Sus scrofa: one gene and its partner. The protein of the gene in region 2 purifies or fractionates together with the protein of the main gene of each other region. This does not show direct contact. Links are inferred from orthologs where the notes say so. Each region holds a gene or a part of one and is shown on either strand. Other genes may lie near its edges.

What was found.
Region 1: the proteins of GP6 (region 2) and LYN purify together in Homo sapiens (affinity purification with western blotting; 5 studies listed by BioGRID and IntAct, with this or other methods). This does not show direct contact. The link is inferred for Sus scrofa from reciprocal best matches to the Homo sapiens genes GP6 and LYN.

The regions. Positions count from the first base shown.
Region 1 is NC_010446.5:75,848,219-75,855,414, forward strand, and holds part of LYN (tyrosine-protein kinase Lyn), read right to left. Parts: intron 2,171-7,196; coding exon 2,034-2,170; intron 1-2,033. UniProt on the Homo sapiens protein: Non-receptor tyrosine-protein kinase that transmits signals from cell surface receptors and plays an important role in the regulation of innate and adaptive immune responses, hematopoiesis, responses to growth factors and cytokines, integrin signaling, but also responses to DNA damage and genotoxic agents.
Region 2 is NC_010448.4:59,229,864-59,237,059, forward strand, and holds part of GP6 (platelet glycoprotein VI), read right to left. Parts: intron 3,976-7,196; coding exon 3,940-3,975; intron 3,832-3,939; coding exon 3,574-3,831; intron 1-3,573.

The DNA of each region.
Region 1 (7,196 bases), on a different chromosome or scaffold from region 2:
TCAACACACTTTGCAGAAGACAAAAATACTCGTATGGAATACTTCTATCATCATGCTCTCTTTGTAAGATGTCTTTTCCTTAGGATCTTGTTGAACTGGCAGCAACTCAGCCTCGCCGTCACATTAGGCCTCCTGTGACAAATCCAGGGGGCAGTGCGCACAGCTGGGGGAGCCGAGTGTTATCTACGGCCGTGGAAGAAGGTCCATGACCAAGGGCCTCCGTAACCAGAGGCACAAGTAAATGCTCCCGTACATGTGGGAACTGAGAGACTTCAAGCACGTTTACCACTTCTGCTTTCTAACTTAATTTTTAACTTTGTAATTGTTACTCTTTTCTTTTGGCCATACATGCAGCATATGGAAGTTCCCGGACCAGGGATTGAACCTGCACCACAACAGTGACAGCATCGAATCTGTCGCCAGTTGTGCCACAAGAAAACCCTTAACTTCCTTTCCTCTTAATAATAGGAAAAATGGTGCATGAGTTCATACGGTTTCCCTTTGCTTTTCTGAATAAAGGACATATTCTTTAATCTCTTTAAAAAAAAAAAAAAAAAACCTTTTAAAGCATGTAACATCTATACAGCACATGATACCAGAAAAAGCCAGATCCTTTTTATGAGATCTTTGAAGTGTATAATAAGAAAACTATTTGTGACTCCAATTCCTTGTACTAGTTCATTTTCTATTAGTCATATTTACATGTATAGCTCCATGCCTATACCTATTCATGTGATGTGTTTTAAAATATTACTTTTATATGTACTTACAATTACTTAATTGTTAAAGTTATTAATAATCTTATACAATTTGAGTGTCTATATATAAAATTACAAAGTTAACTTATGTACCTGGAAATATCATATATGATAATTAATAGCATAATATAAATTCACTCTTCAGCTCCACTGCTTTTTCTTTTTTCTTTTTTTGGGGGGTGGGGGGTTGAGCCCGAGGCATGCAGAAGTTCCTGGGCCAGGGATCAAACCTGCACCACAGCAGTAACCAGAGCCAAAGCAGTGACAACGCTGGATGCTTAACCCGTTGAGCCACCAGGGAACCCTAAAATCTCTTAATGAAGGCATTTGGGCTAACCTGAAATAACCTGCTTCCAGCTTAAATGCTGAGAAATTCCATAAAAACCAGGCAAAGGGAGATGTACATATATATAGTGGACGAATAGATGGAAAGGATACAAGATCTGAAATAAAATGCATTGAGGGTTATAATTATCCAAAGCTCTGTTCCTCTTTTCCATATGAGATATTAGTTCTTCCTTTGCCAAGCATTTCTCAAATGCATCAAATAGTACATCACTTGTATAAAAATGTTGGTACAGATATCTGTCCAAAGTTAGAGGACAAAATTGATTGTGGTTTTTAATAAAATCTTTTAATTCTCTGTAATAAGTCATGACAACTTCAGTGTTCGTACTCTTTTGAATTAACCTAAGAATGACAAGATGGGGTAAAGTGTGATATGCCAAAGGACATATTAGCACCTATTTTGGCTTCAGACTTGAATCCAGCATTTCCTCTGCTTCCAGACCACTGCACTAATCCCACTACCAATCTGAAATCACGCAAGCTCAGAGACATATTTTTATACATGAAGGGCGTGTTTTCACACCAGTGATAATGAAAGGTGATTACCCCCACACATAAGAAGGCGACCAAAGGCCCCTTTATTGTACAATAAGTGGCCTGGTTTTCCTGGAAATATTTATAAACTCTTTAAAGGAGTAAGTTACAAAGTATATAAAAAAATAGTTGAGGGAGTTCCCGCTGCGGTGCAGTGGGTTAAGGATCTGATATTTTCTCTGCAGTGGCTCAGATTCAATCCCTGGCCTGGGAAGTTCCATATGCCGTGAGCGCAGTGGCAAAAGAAAAAAAAAATTATTTGAGGCCCAAGTAACTGACAGGATTTTTTTTTTTTTTTTTTTTTGCATGAACATGGTACAGATCTGATGTTTAAATTATGCAGCCATGCTTTGATCCTGCTGTGGGAAGGCTCCCCTGAGACTATCTACTTACTGGCCTTTGCTGTTTATTGGACGTTGGATCTCTCACATAAATAGTGCGGTCAGTATTACGTACTGGTTGAGTCTTCAAATCTACTCCATCGTCATTCAGATTGTCTTTCCTTTTTGATTTTATACATCCCATAGTTCCTGTTGGAACAGAAAAGTAACGGCATTGTTTTACCATTCTAGAACTGGCTCCAAGCCACCAAAATCCCTCCATTAACGAAGAGCAAAAAGAACATACTTTGATTTTTTCATCACAGATGGTTTCACAAACTCAAAAGGGGATGCTGTTCACAAATCAGCTGCTTGTTCATGCATGCACGCATTCATTCATTCGACAACTATGGAGAATCAATTCTATGTCTGCAAGACATAATTCCTGCTCTAAAGACACTCCTAATCTTGTGGCGAAGACGTGTGAATGAAAATTACACTACAATGTGGCAAGTCAATGATGAGAGGATGCACAGGACAGAGGAAAGGACGTGGAACCGAGGCAAGAGGAAAAGGATGTCAGGGAAGCATCTGGAAGGAAATGCTCTGTGATTCAAAATGCGGGTGATGTCAGCTGGGTGGCAAAGGCAGCAACGAGATTCTGGGAAGAAGGAACTTCATGTGCAAAGTATTGGCCCTGAGCTCACACGGCCCCTTCAGGGAATTAGTTTAAGCCGATCCCTTCAGGGAACAAGTAAGGAAGTCCAGGAGGAGGGCTGGAGAGGAGGCACAGCTGAAAGCCAAGGCCACCTTGCAAGGTGAAGTGAGAGGCCTGGGGCTTCAAGGGCGAGCATGATTAAGAGCCAGAAGGCACAGAGCCAGGCGCCAGCCCAATGTGGCTTGGGGCCTGGGGAACAGAGGTGGCCTTCACCTAGACTGAAAATAAAAGAGGGGACTAGGATGTGGGAGAAAAGATGTTTACAGGAACCCCCAAACAATCACAGCCAGTAGTCTTCCCAGTAAGACTTGTGAGTGAGGACACCAGGAGAGATGGTGGAGCTGGGGGGCACAAACAGGTGCCATCAGACGGCCATGCCTGTGACTGAGGCTTCAGGGGAGAGCCAGCCTCAGAAGATGGCTAGTGCTCAGCCAGCAAGGACGTAATCACGCTTCCAAATGATAACTCTTCTTTGTTCACTCCGTTAGGACTGGGATGCATAGAACACCCCCCAAAGCACTCTGGAGACTAAAGAGGGGGTCACAGCACTGAAATAGCACAGGACTCTGGCCTCACACTACAGCCTTGGGGTCAAATGTATACATTTAAAAAGAAACAAAATCTATTAGGAGCTCCATCAGAGGGTCCTAGAGGGCCCGTTCCCAAACCTGAAAGAACACCAGAATGCCCTGGGCTCATGGAACAGAGTCCTGGGACACGGGCCAGGAAGTTCTCCCGCACCAGGCATCCCTCCGGGGGTGGGGTGGGAGGTGCTCCCCCGCTGATGGGTGTCATTCTGAAGCACTGCCAGTGGGGACCCTGGCCTAGAACTTCAGAGAGATGGTTTCACACAGGGAAGGCGAGTGGTGGGAATTCGCCACACCTCCTGGAGGAGGAACTGTTCTAGGAAACCTCAGGACCACTTGTCTGTCACCCTCTGCACTGTTTTCCCAGCTCATCCTGCCCCTAGTCCCGTTTAGTTCCCCAGGCTTCCAGGAGGACTTCGATCTGCGCCTTGTTTATCTTTTCCTGGGTTGACGTAGGGAGCCTCTAAGGACAGTCACACCTCTTTCTGAAACTAGCGAGCTGTAGTTCCCAAAATAAAGGGGAAGCAAGTAGTTCTTTGACTCAAAACAGCACTTTTTTTTTTTTTTTTTTTCATGTGCTAAAGTTTCTGTAATGGAGGTGGGTTTTCTAGCTGATCTGTAAATAAACAGGGGTGTTCTTTTCTGGCCAGTCCCACCCATCTCCACCCCTCAGGAAAGCTGGGTTTAAATCATCGCCATTGAAACGGTGCTGCAGAACCAAGAGAACGAGGTGGCGCAAAAACCATCCGGTACGGACCCTGGAAGGCACCCTGAGCTCCCAGGGGAGGAGCCCCGAGGGTCCTCAGGACGCACGCGCGCGCCCGGCCTGCGCGCTCCCCCGCCCACGACGCACGCGGGTCAGGTCTGCGCGCTCCCCGGGCCAGACGCACGCGCACCGGCTTGGGACAGCCCCTTTTTTTCCCGGGCCCTCGCGCGCGCTCTCTATCCCTTTCCAGCTCTGTCTTTTTTCAGATCTGGACACAAATGTTACCTCCCCAGACAGATCTTCACCAAGCTCCCCTCTGCCCACTTTTCACGCTTCACTCTCGTGTTTCTTATTAGGACCGACATTCCGTTACGTGTGGGTTTATTTAAGGTCAGCTCCCCAGGTGGACCATAGCGGAAGGGCCAGCCCCAAGCCTGCTTCTTCCCTGTAATGTTCCCAGCACCTCCACCAGTGCCGACAGAGAGCAGATGCTCTGGGAGTGCTCACGACAAGAATGCAAGGACTGTGCGCTCGGCTGCTGCCCTGAATGAATGGGCGTGGGTGGGAGGAGGACGTGGCTGGATCACTGGGGGAATCCGAATATGTGTAGACAGGATCCTGGACCTTGTGTGTGTTATAGGCGTGATGAAGGCACCGCGGTCATGCGGGAGAATGTCCACATTTGAGGAGATGCAGGCGAGGCGGATTAGGGATGGGGGCTCTGGGAGTGTGCAACTTTCAACACCTCCACCCAAAAGGAAAAGGGAGGGGGAGATGGAGAGTAGAGACGAATGTGGCAAAACAGTAAGAAATTAGTGCATCTGGGTAAGGATAGTCTTTCTTTTTCCTATACATTTGAAATTTTCAAAATAAAAAGTTGGAAGGGGAGAAAATAAGAAGATAGTATGAACAATTTATGCAAAAACAGTTTTTCCCCAAATATTAGGAACCCATGTAGTGCATGCACACATGCGTGTGTGAAGGCAGCAGATGAGGTTAGAAGAGCACTTGGCAGGTGTTATATGGAGGGGAGTCATTGAGCCAGACCTGTGAAGGGTGATGGAGATGGTTCAGGGGCAGCAGCCATGGGAAGGAAGACAGAGAATGAAAATGAAAAGCAGGTGGATGTGGGAGGGATGGTAAAATCTGCAGATGATCATTTTTTTATGCCTATTTCATCATTTCCCGTCCCCCATCACCATGGATAACTGAAAACCAGGTGTATGTCCTGTTTTCCTCTAGAGGAAAGCAGCAGGACAGGGCTCCCCATGGAGTTAGTGGCCTCTCTCTGCCCTGGCACTGAGCTTTGAATTTGGGGCACTGTGTGCAAACACTTCAGCAAAAAAGCTCAAAGAGCACTCCCCTTGTAGCATGGGATAAACACCACCAGCTCACACCAGGTCCTCAATTCTTTAGCTGTGCAAAGGTATCAGAAAAGCACAAAACACAATGCACCCCAAAAAAAACAGAACAGTTACATGATTTCGACGATTTCGACTGATAGGAGCTGTGCTTTACCATGACTCACACCTTAGTATTTTTCAATTAAGCATCTGTAATTTTCTGAGCATCTCATTTAATCCTCAAAGGAACTCCAAGACCCAGGTATTATTAACCCCACATTACAGAGGTGTAAACTGAGGCATGAGGTGAACTGGCTCAAAGTCACAGCACTAGTGAAGGGTGGACTCACACAGCTTTGGCCTAAAGCCTGCGCATTTTTTCCCCTTTGGCCAAAGAATGGCTATTTTGAAACTTGTAGGTTGTTGTTTTTTTTTTTTTTTAATTAATGATGCTACAGAGATTGTTTTTATAGCCTGCTTCTTTCTCAGAAGGATTCAAAATGCTTTTTACAAAAATAATAATAATAATAATAACATTAATTAAGAAGCTGGAAACAGAAAACTAAGGGCAGGGAAAAGCAGAGAAAGAAAAGTGGAACCTGATGGGTAGTAGATTTGCCCAAGTGGCTTCCTGGCAGGAAGGGTCGGAGGGCAGCCTGTGTCACAGGGCTTTCACCAGAAAAGAGGAAGCTGACCTGTTCTCCCCAGAAAGGGAAGCCTCGGCCTAAGAATCCTAAAGTTTCTTACGATGAGTTTGACTTAAGAGTGCTGTTGACGATGTGTGTGGCAATGTCTTTTTTTTTTTTTTTTTTATGAACACTAAATGAAGGCACATTTTACATGCAGAGACTCTGGGTTAATCACAGTAATACCTGAGGGTCTGACAGGCAAATATACCCCTGGGATGCTCATGACATAAGCTCAGCTAGATAGTCTAATGAGACAGACAGCTGAGAAACCCTCTATCACAAGGAGACATCCGCCAACACATCCAGAAAAGGAGGTGAGTGGCTTTTCCACCCTGGGACAAATACTGGTTAGCAACACCTCATCCTCATTTAACAGCAGGAGAATGCTAAATTCCTTCAAAAAAGAAAAACCTAAACAGACTCAGTTGTTAAAGAATCCGACCAGGAACCACGAGGTTGTGGGTTCAATTCCTGGCCTTGCTCAGTGGGTTAAGGATCCGGCGTTGCCGTGAGCTGTGGTGTAGGTCGCAGGCATGGCTCGGATCCCATGTTGCTGTGGCTCTGGTGTAGGCTGGCAGCAACAGCTCCAATTCAACCCCCAGCCTTGGAACCTCCATATGCAGCCAAAGAAATGGCAAAAAAAGAAAAAAAAAGACTTCTTGTTTATCATCTGGTAAGACCGGGTAATGTCCCACAGTTAACCACCTGCTCAGCCAAGAAAGAGCTATCCACCTGAAATTCCACTTCTGGAGATGTGTTCTTCTTTTTTTTTTCTTCTCCAGTCTCACTGAGATATAAGTGACATATAACATTGGGTAAGTGTAGGGTGTACAATGGGGTGATTTGATCTACGTAGATATTGTGAAATGATTACCTCAAAACAGTTAACATATCCATCACTTCACATACTTGGGGGGGTTGTCTGTTTTTATGGTGAGGATTTGTTTTTCAGACACACTTGTACCCGGCACAAGAATGTTCATACTTAGATTATTACAGGCAGATACACCCCAGATGCCCATCAACAGTGGAGGTTTCATTAAATTAAGCTGAACTGACACACTATGAGAATAAGATGGGTTAAAAAGAGAGATGTGTGTAATTTGATGTTCTTGACCACCAATCATTACTGATTGAAATATATATATATATTTAATGTGTACAGAAAAAAATGTCTTAAAGGACACCTATCA
Region 2 (7,196 bases):
GCTCATGGCAACGCCTGATCCTTAACCCACTGAGCAAGGCCAGGGATCGAACCTGCAACCTCATGGTTCCCAGTTGGATTCGTTTACCACTGCGCCACGACAGGAACTCCTAAAAAATGTTTAGTTAAAAAAAATTAAAACGGGAGAGTTTCCATTGTGGCTCAGCAGTAAAGAATCTGACCAGTATCCATGAGGACGTGGGTTCGATCCCACTGGCCTCACTCAGTGGGTTAAGGATCCAGCATTGCCATGAGCTGTGGTGTAGGTTGCAGACAAGGCTCGGATCTGGCGTTGCTGTAGCTGTTGGCATAGGTCAGGCAGCTACAGCTCTGATTCAACCCCTAGCCTGGGAAACTCTGTATGCAGCAGGCGACATCCTAAAAAGTAAATAAATAAATAAATAAATAAAATGATTGCCTGAGGCAATATGTACTAATAAGCATTTAATAGAATACGTAATGCACAACGACCACCCAAAATATGATGGTGGTGACAAAATAGCTTAAGCTTATACTGTAAACTTATCGGAAACTTGTATTAAAGTCCAGATGCCACAGGGACCGGCTACCTAGCACCAGGGAACTCTACCCAATATTCTGTGATCATCTATGGGGGGAAAGACTCTGAAAGAGAATGGATGTGTCTATATGTATAACTGAATCACTCTGTTGCACAGAAGAAACTACCAATCTTGAAAATCAACTATACTTCGATAAAACTTTAAAAAATGAAAAAAAAAAAAAGTACCAGATTCCAGGTGCTGTTCCAGCCCGTGACATATATCCATTCACTGAGTCCTCACAAAGACCTAAGAGTGTCCATACTTTGTACGTAAAACTAAGATGCAATGGAAAAAAAATAAAAAGCATTGTAAAATAAACATCTCAAAAAAAAAAAAACAACAAAAACCTAAGATGCACATTGCTCAATCACTTGGTCCAAGATCACAAGACAGGAAGTGGCAGAGCTGAAATGTGCAATCACAGAGGTGGGCTCCAGGCTGTCCAAATGTGAGCCTACCCTGCCGTGTAATTTGATATTTTTATCATCCTAGAGCATGGCCGACCACGCCTGGAATCCCCTACTCACAGCAGCAAAAGGTGCCTGATAATTCATTCAATATTGGTGTTTGCTCTGAGCAACTATTTTGTGTTCGTCTCTGTTTTCTAAGAAGGAAGCCCACTGGGAAGAAAGACTAGCCAGAGGCAAATAAATAAGTAAATAGGTGGCAAACGATGAGTGCCGTTTTAAATCGGGGTAGATTTTAAATAGGATGGGGAGGGAGATACTTAATGAGACGATAGCCTTGAGTCAGTCCCCAAAAACCACTGGTGCCAGGACCTCAGGGCCTGGAATGAGGGTAAAGTGAGTTAGGCACTCTCCTGGGAGGCAGACACATGTACAGGGAATAGAATATCCAGGCTTTAAACAAAGACAGAATCCAGCTGTGCCCCGGGGAGCCATGGCGAGGTCTAAAACACGAACTGACCCTGCCATGTAGGTCATTTGATGTCACTATCCTCGCAATCCACACCTGGCACTCGGTAGTCACAGCGTCTGAGGAGCTCCTCTTGGGGCTCGGCGGGTTAGGACCGGACTAGTATCCATGAGGACGCAGGTTCAATCCCCGGCCCCGCTGAGTGGGTAAGGATCCTACGTTGCTATGAGCTGTGGTGTAGGTTGCAGACAAGGCTTGGATCTGGCATTGCTGTGGCTGTGGTGTAGGCCGGCGGCTACAGCTCTGATTCGACCCCTAGCCTGGGAAGCTCCATATGCCACAGGTGCTGCCCTAAAAAGATTTTTTTACTGTAAGTTACTAAAACTTACAGTATTTTAAGTTTATACAAAAAAAAAAAAAAAAAAAACCAGAATTTATTATCACGGAAGCAAAAACTCATCAATATTTTAAAATCTACTTTGGAAAAAAATTTCGTAATGCGTTAGCGGAGTTAGGTGACTCAGAGGGTTAAAGATCCCACGTCGTCACTACTGTGGTTCAGGTCACTGCTGTGGTGATGGGTTCGATCCTTGGCTGGGGACCGTCCATGTGCCATAGGTGCAGCCAAAAAAAAAAAAAGGTAAAATGCTTTAGAAATAAAAGGATAAGCTGAGAACATTTTATTCCATGAAAAAATAGAACATGGATAGAGGGGTACACATTTTTTCCTTGCATCAGCCTCGGATATGGCTCGGATGGTACTGTCACTGAGCAGGGCTGGGGGCAGGGGGAGGGGAGTCCTGGGCACAAAAGCCTTTCCATGTCCCCCATTTCTAGTTTTTAGGAAATGGGCCTCATTCAGCCTCCCTGGCCTTCCCTGGGTTCCGAGCGACAGGTTCAGACAGTTGATGATTGGGGAAGGGAGGGGACGCAAACGCCCTGGAGGCACAGTCAAGGAAGAATGGTACCGCCCTGGGACAAGGTCCTGGTTCTCTCCCAAGGGATGCACAGAACAACGTAGGCATGTTATGCACCTAGAAAGAAGAGTTACATTCCTTATGCTTCTTTGAGAAATGAATACTTTAAAAATGTAAAGCTTGCAGCCCTTCCTTGTGCTTCTCCCTGGCTTAACTGCTTCACCTGTGAGCTACAGACTCGGCACCCTGAGCTCAATTGCCTGTGGGTTAAAGATTATTAGTACCTGATGTTTTTCAGGAACTTTCCTAGTTTGTTCTAATTTCTGATCAAGACCCCCCCCTTCACAGGTACTGTTATTCTAGACAAGACCACCACGCTGAGATCCCCTGAGGCCAGCTTCGATGACTAGGCTTCCCCTAAAGAAAGAAGCACGCATGTCTGCCCCAATTCCGATTCCTATGCAAAAACCTGTCTTATCTGCTTTTTACTACGAAACTCCCTACCCTTCTTCCAGTGGAGGACACCGTCTTTAAGGCATTTGCCTGCCGCCGCCTCCTCTGCCTGGCAAAGCAATATTTTTTTTTTCCTCCTTCACCCAAAATTCTGTCGCGGAGTTTCTATGGGGCACTGGTGGACAGAGGCAATGGGACTGATCTTCCTTAAAACTGTGATATCCTCTATGTCTTTCATGTTTTTGCATTGATTTGGGCTTTTTTTCCCCAAGGTATATCATTAACATTACTTATGGAGATTCCTGAAGTTTTTGGCACTTCTCCTAAATTTAGCATTCAAGACCAAAGCCTCACTTGCCACACCCTCATCCCAGGCCCCCCCGGGGGGGGCTTTATTATTATTATTATTTGTCTTTTTGCCTTTTCTAGGGCCGCTCCCCTGGCATATGGAGTTCCCAGGCTAGGGGTCCAATCGGAACTGCAGCCACCGGTCTACACCAGAGTCACAGCAACGCGGGATCCGAGCCGCGTCTGCGACCTACACCACAGCTCACAGCAACGCTGGATCCTTAACCCACTGAACAAGGCCAGGGATCGAACCTGCAGCCTCATGGTTCCTAGTCGGATTCGTTAACCACTGCGCCACGACGGGAACTCCGGGGGTAGGGGGGCTTTCGATTTCCAGCCCTCATCACCCCCTCCCCTGCCGCCCACTTGGAGCCTGTGGCTACACGTCCAGCCACACCCTCCCCACCCCCCTGTTACCGGTAGCGACCAGCTCCAGCGTGTTGCTGGCTGGAGACCAGAGGGTCCCGTTCTGGTAGGAGCAGCGGTAGCGGCCGGCGAATCTTTGTTCCATGACCGGGATGGAGAGGACCGCCTGGTCAAAGTACTTTCCGGACCGCAGTTCCTCCAGGCGGTACAAGTCCACGTCTGGTGGCCCCTGGCAGCGGACCGTCACCAACTTACCCAGGGGCACCAGGGAGCTGGGCAGGGCCTGGAGGGAGGGCTTGGGCAGGGCGCCTGGAAGGGAAGCGGAGCCTCCTAGAGGGCAGCGGCCAAAGGGCGCCCCCTCCTGGGCGCTCCGGCTCCCTCCCGCTGGCTGAACCCACAAGAGGGATCTGGACTCACCTGTCTGAGCGTGTGTCACCTGCCCCAGACACAGCCCTGAGGAGAGAAGGAAAGAGTCCGTTACCAGGGCCGGGCGGGGGGAGCCCACGCTTCCTGCGCGCTGGGCCGCGCTGTAGGAAACCTGCCCGCATTCGCTTTCTTTGGTCGCGTGGCCCGCCTCGCCCCCGGCATAGCCGAAGTGAATGACACCACCCATAAAAGGCCACGATCATTATGCGTCCACGTATCTGAAATGTTCGGAAGAGATAAATCCAGCCAAAGACCTGGATGAGTTGGCTGATGGGGACTGCGCAGAGCGGCGAGTGAAGCGTGATTGCAGGGAGCTCGGGATTTCCTTTTGGAGTAGTTAGAAAGTCTGGGAACTGGTCAGGGGTGGTGTTTGCACAGCACCGTGAGTGGATTGAATGTCATTAACGGTCAATTTTAGGTTTGCTTTTTTTTTTTTTCCTTTTTAGAGCAGCACATGGAGGTTCCCAGGCTAGGAGTCCAATCGGAGCTGTAGCCGCCAACCTGCACCACAACCACAGCAATGTAATTTAACATTTTTTTAATGTATCCGTGCAAGCTTTAAAGTTTATAAAATACAGAATTTCCTCTTCTAGAAAATATTAAAAATAAAATAACCTGGGTTTCTAGGCTTAAAAGGAAAAAAAAAAAAAAAAAAGGAGGCGGACAGTGTCGATTTGATACATTTGTAAGTTACCAGACGGTGACCACGGGTAGTCCTAGCTAACAGCTCCATCCCCATGAGTCGTTGCCATTTCTTTTCAGGGAGGGAGAAAATTTAAGAGGTGGTCCCATAGCAACTTTCCAGGATAGATGACAGTACTATTAGCTATAATCCCCATGCAGTATATTAGATCCAGATGGGGTCTCCCGCATTATATCTTGAGACCTCAGGCATTCCCATCATGGCTCAGTGGTTAACAAACCCAACTAGCATCCACGAGGACACAGGTTTGATCCCTGGCCTCATTCAGTGGGTTAAGGATCTGGCATTGCCGTGAGCTGTGGTGTAGCTCACAGATGTGGCTTGGATTCCGCGTTGCTGTGGCTGTGGTGTAGACCGCCAGCTACAGCTTTGATTCCACTCCTAGCCTGGGAACCTCCATATGCTTCGGGTTCAGCCCTAAAAGAATGAAAACAAAACAAAACAAAAAGGACCTCAAGTTGTGGGAATCCTGGATTTCTCCCTGTTCTATGCCTTTGGGTGACATCATTGTTTTATAATCACATTATTAAGACTGTGCAAATATTATCCACACCTGAGCCTTACAACCTCCCTATGTATTTTTTCGTATTTGTTTTCCCTAAGATCAGTCACGGTATGTTCTATTTCCCTCTGCACAGCGTTCCTGGAATCCGTATCTTGTTCTTTCCACAATAGTCGATCGACTCTCCATGTAATTTTACACGCCTATCAAACCGTACGATCTATAAGTTCCACTGTTTTCCTGGGAGGTGCCCTCTCCCCGTTTTCCCGTCTATCGGAAAGAATTCTTCTCTAGATTCAACAACTGCCCTTTTTCTCTCAAACGAAGACTCTTTTTTTTTTTTTTTTTTCCCCACCTTTTGGCTGAGTTAGCAGCATTGTCTGTTCTAGTCTCACCAGGGTTGGCAAAGGTAGCAAATAAAAACATAGAACTCCCTGGTAACCTTGACTATCAGATAAACCACAAACCACAGGTCATATTTTTTTGATGTGGTAACTCCCGTGAGGTCTGTGGTCCTGCAGCTGGTAGGAGCTCGAGTCAAACCCCCAGCCGCACATTTTCATGTAAGGAAGGAGGGTTTGCGGCAAAAATGCCTCAGTTTGTGTTCGAGCCACAACGGTGTGACTTTACACAAGTTACTTAACCCCTCTGGGCTTTGGTGTTCCCGCCTATAAAATGGAAATAACAGGTAGCCCTACTTCATCAGGCTGTTATGGGAATTAAATGAGTAAATATTTAAAAACATGCAATAATACAGAGCCCAATAATAAGTGCTTCCGGGTGTGTTTAAAGGATGAATAAATGCAAGAGGGAATGAATGAATGAGAGGCAGTTTGTGTTTGTAATATGCACTCTTATCCCTCAAAACACAACTGCTTCCTTCCTGCTCAGCCCCTGGGAGGCCTCTCTCTTTTTAGCGATAAAGTTCTTTGGAAGAAATAAGGAAACAATGCCCTCACGTGCCCAGCACAAAGCGTAAGAAGGAGGTGGCAGTAAAAAGGCATCTGAGCCCACCACCCGTCCAGGCAGAAGAGACTCTCATTCCCCCCGTGTTTGCGGTGGTTAATTGACAAAAAGCATATTTAAGGTGATTTGTGAAGTAATTACTGCACTCAAGCCAATTAGCACATCTGTCACCTCGTATAATTATCTCTGGGGTTTTCAAGGTGAGAAACTTAATTTTTACCCTCTGAGAAAATTTCCAGGATATTCTGCAGAGCTGTTAACTGCACTCATTATGCTCCTAGATCCTCAGAACTTACTTATTTCATAACTGGAAGCTGTACCCTCTGACCAACATCTACTTCCCCATTCCGCCGGCATGGTCCCCAGCCCCTCCCCAGCCCCCAGTTCCCAGTCCCCCACCCCCCGCCCCCAGTTCCCCCAGCCCCCAGGTCCCCGCCACCAGGCCCCCACCCCTAACCCCCATTCCCTCCCACCCTCAAACCCCAGCCCCCAACCCCCATTCCCCCCCCAGCCCCAGCCCCCAGTCCCCCGCCCCCAGCCCCTGGCAACCTCCAGTCTACTCTCTGCTTTTGTGGGTTGACTTTTTAAGGTTCCATGTACAAGTATTTTCTCCTTCTCATTTCATTTAGCATAATCCCCTCATGGTCCCTCAGGGTTCATCCACGTGGTTGCAAATGGAAGGATTATTTGCGCCCGTGCCCTAAGGCATCCTGAGCTACGTGTATAATCTAGCCCTGCTATCATTAAATCCACTTTAAAAAAAATTTTTATTGTCTTTTCAGGGCTGCACCCGCAGCATATGGAAGTTCCCAGACTAGGAGTCGAATCGGAGCTGTAGCCACAGGCCTACGCCACAGCCACAGCCACAGCCAGATCTGAGGCACGTCTGCAGCAACATCACAGCTCAGGGCAACACCGTCCTCAGGGGTGTGAGATTCATTTCCGCTGAGCCATGACGGGAACGCCTTCAAAATGTTTTTAAGTTTTATGTTTAAAGTTAACTCTTAATATAAACATTTCATAATTTGAAACAACAACAATGATTTTGTTTTTCGAGCTTGCTCATTAATACGTTAA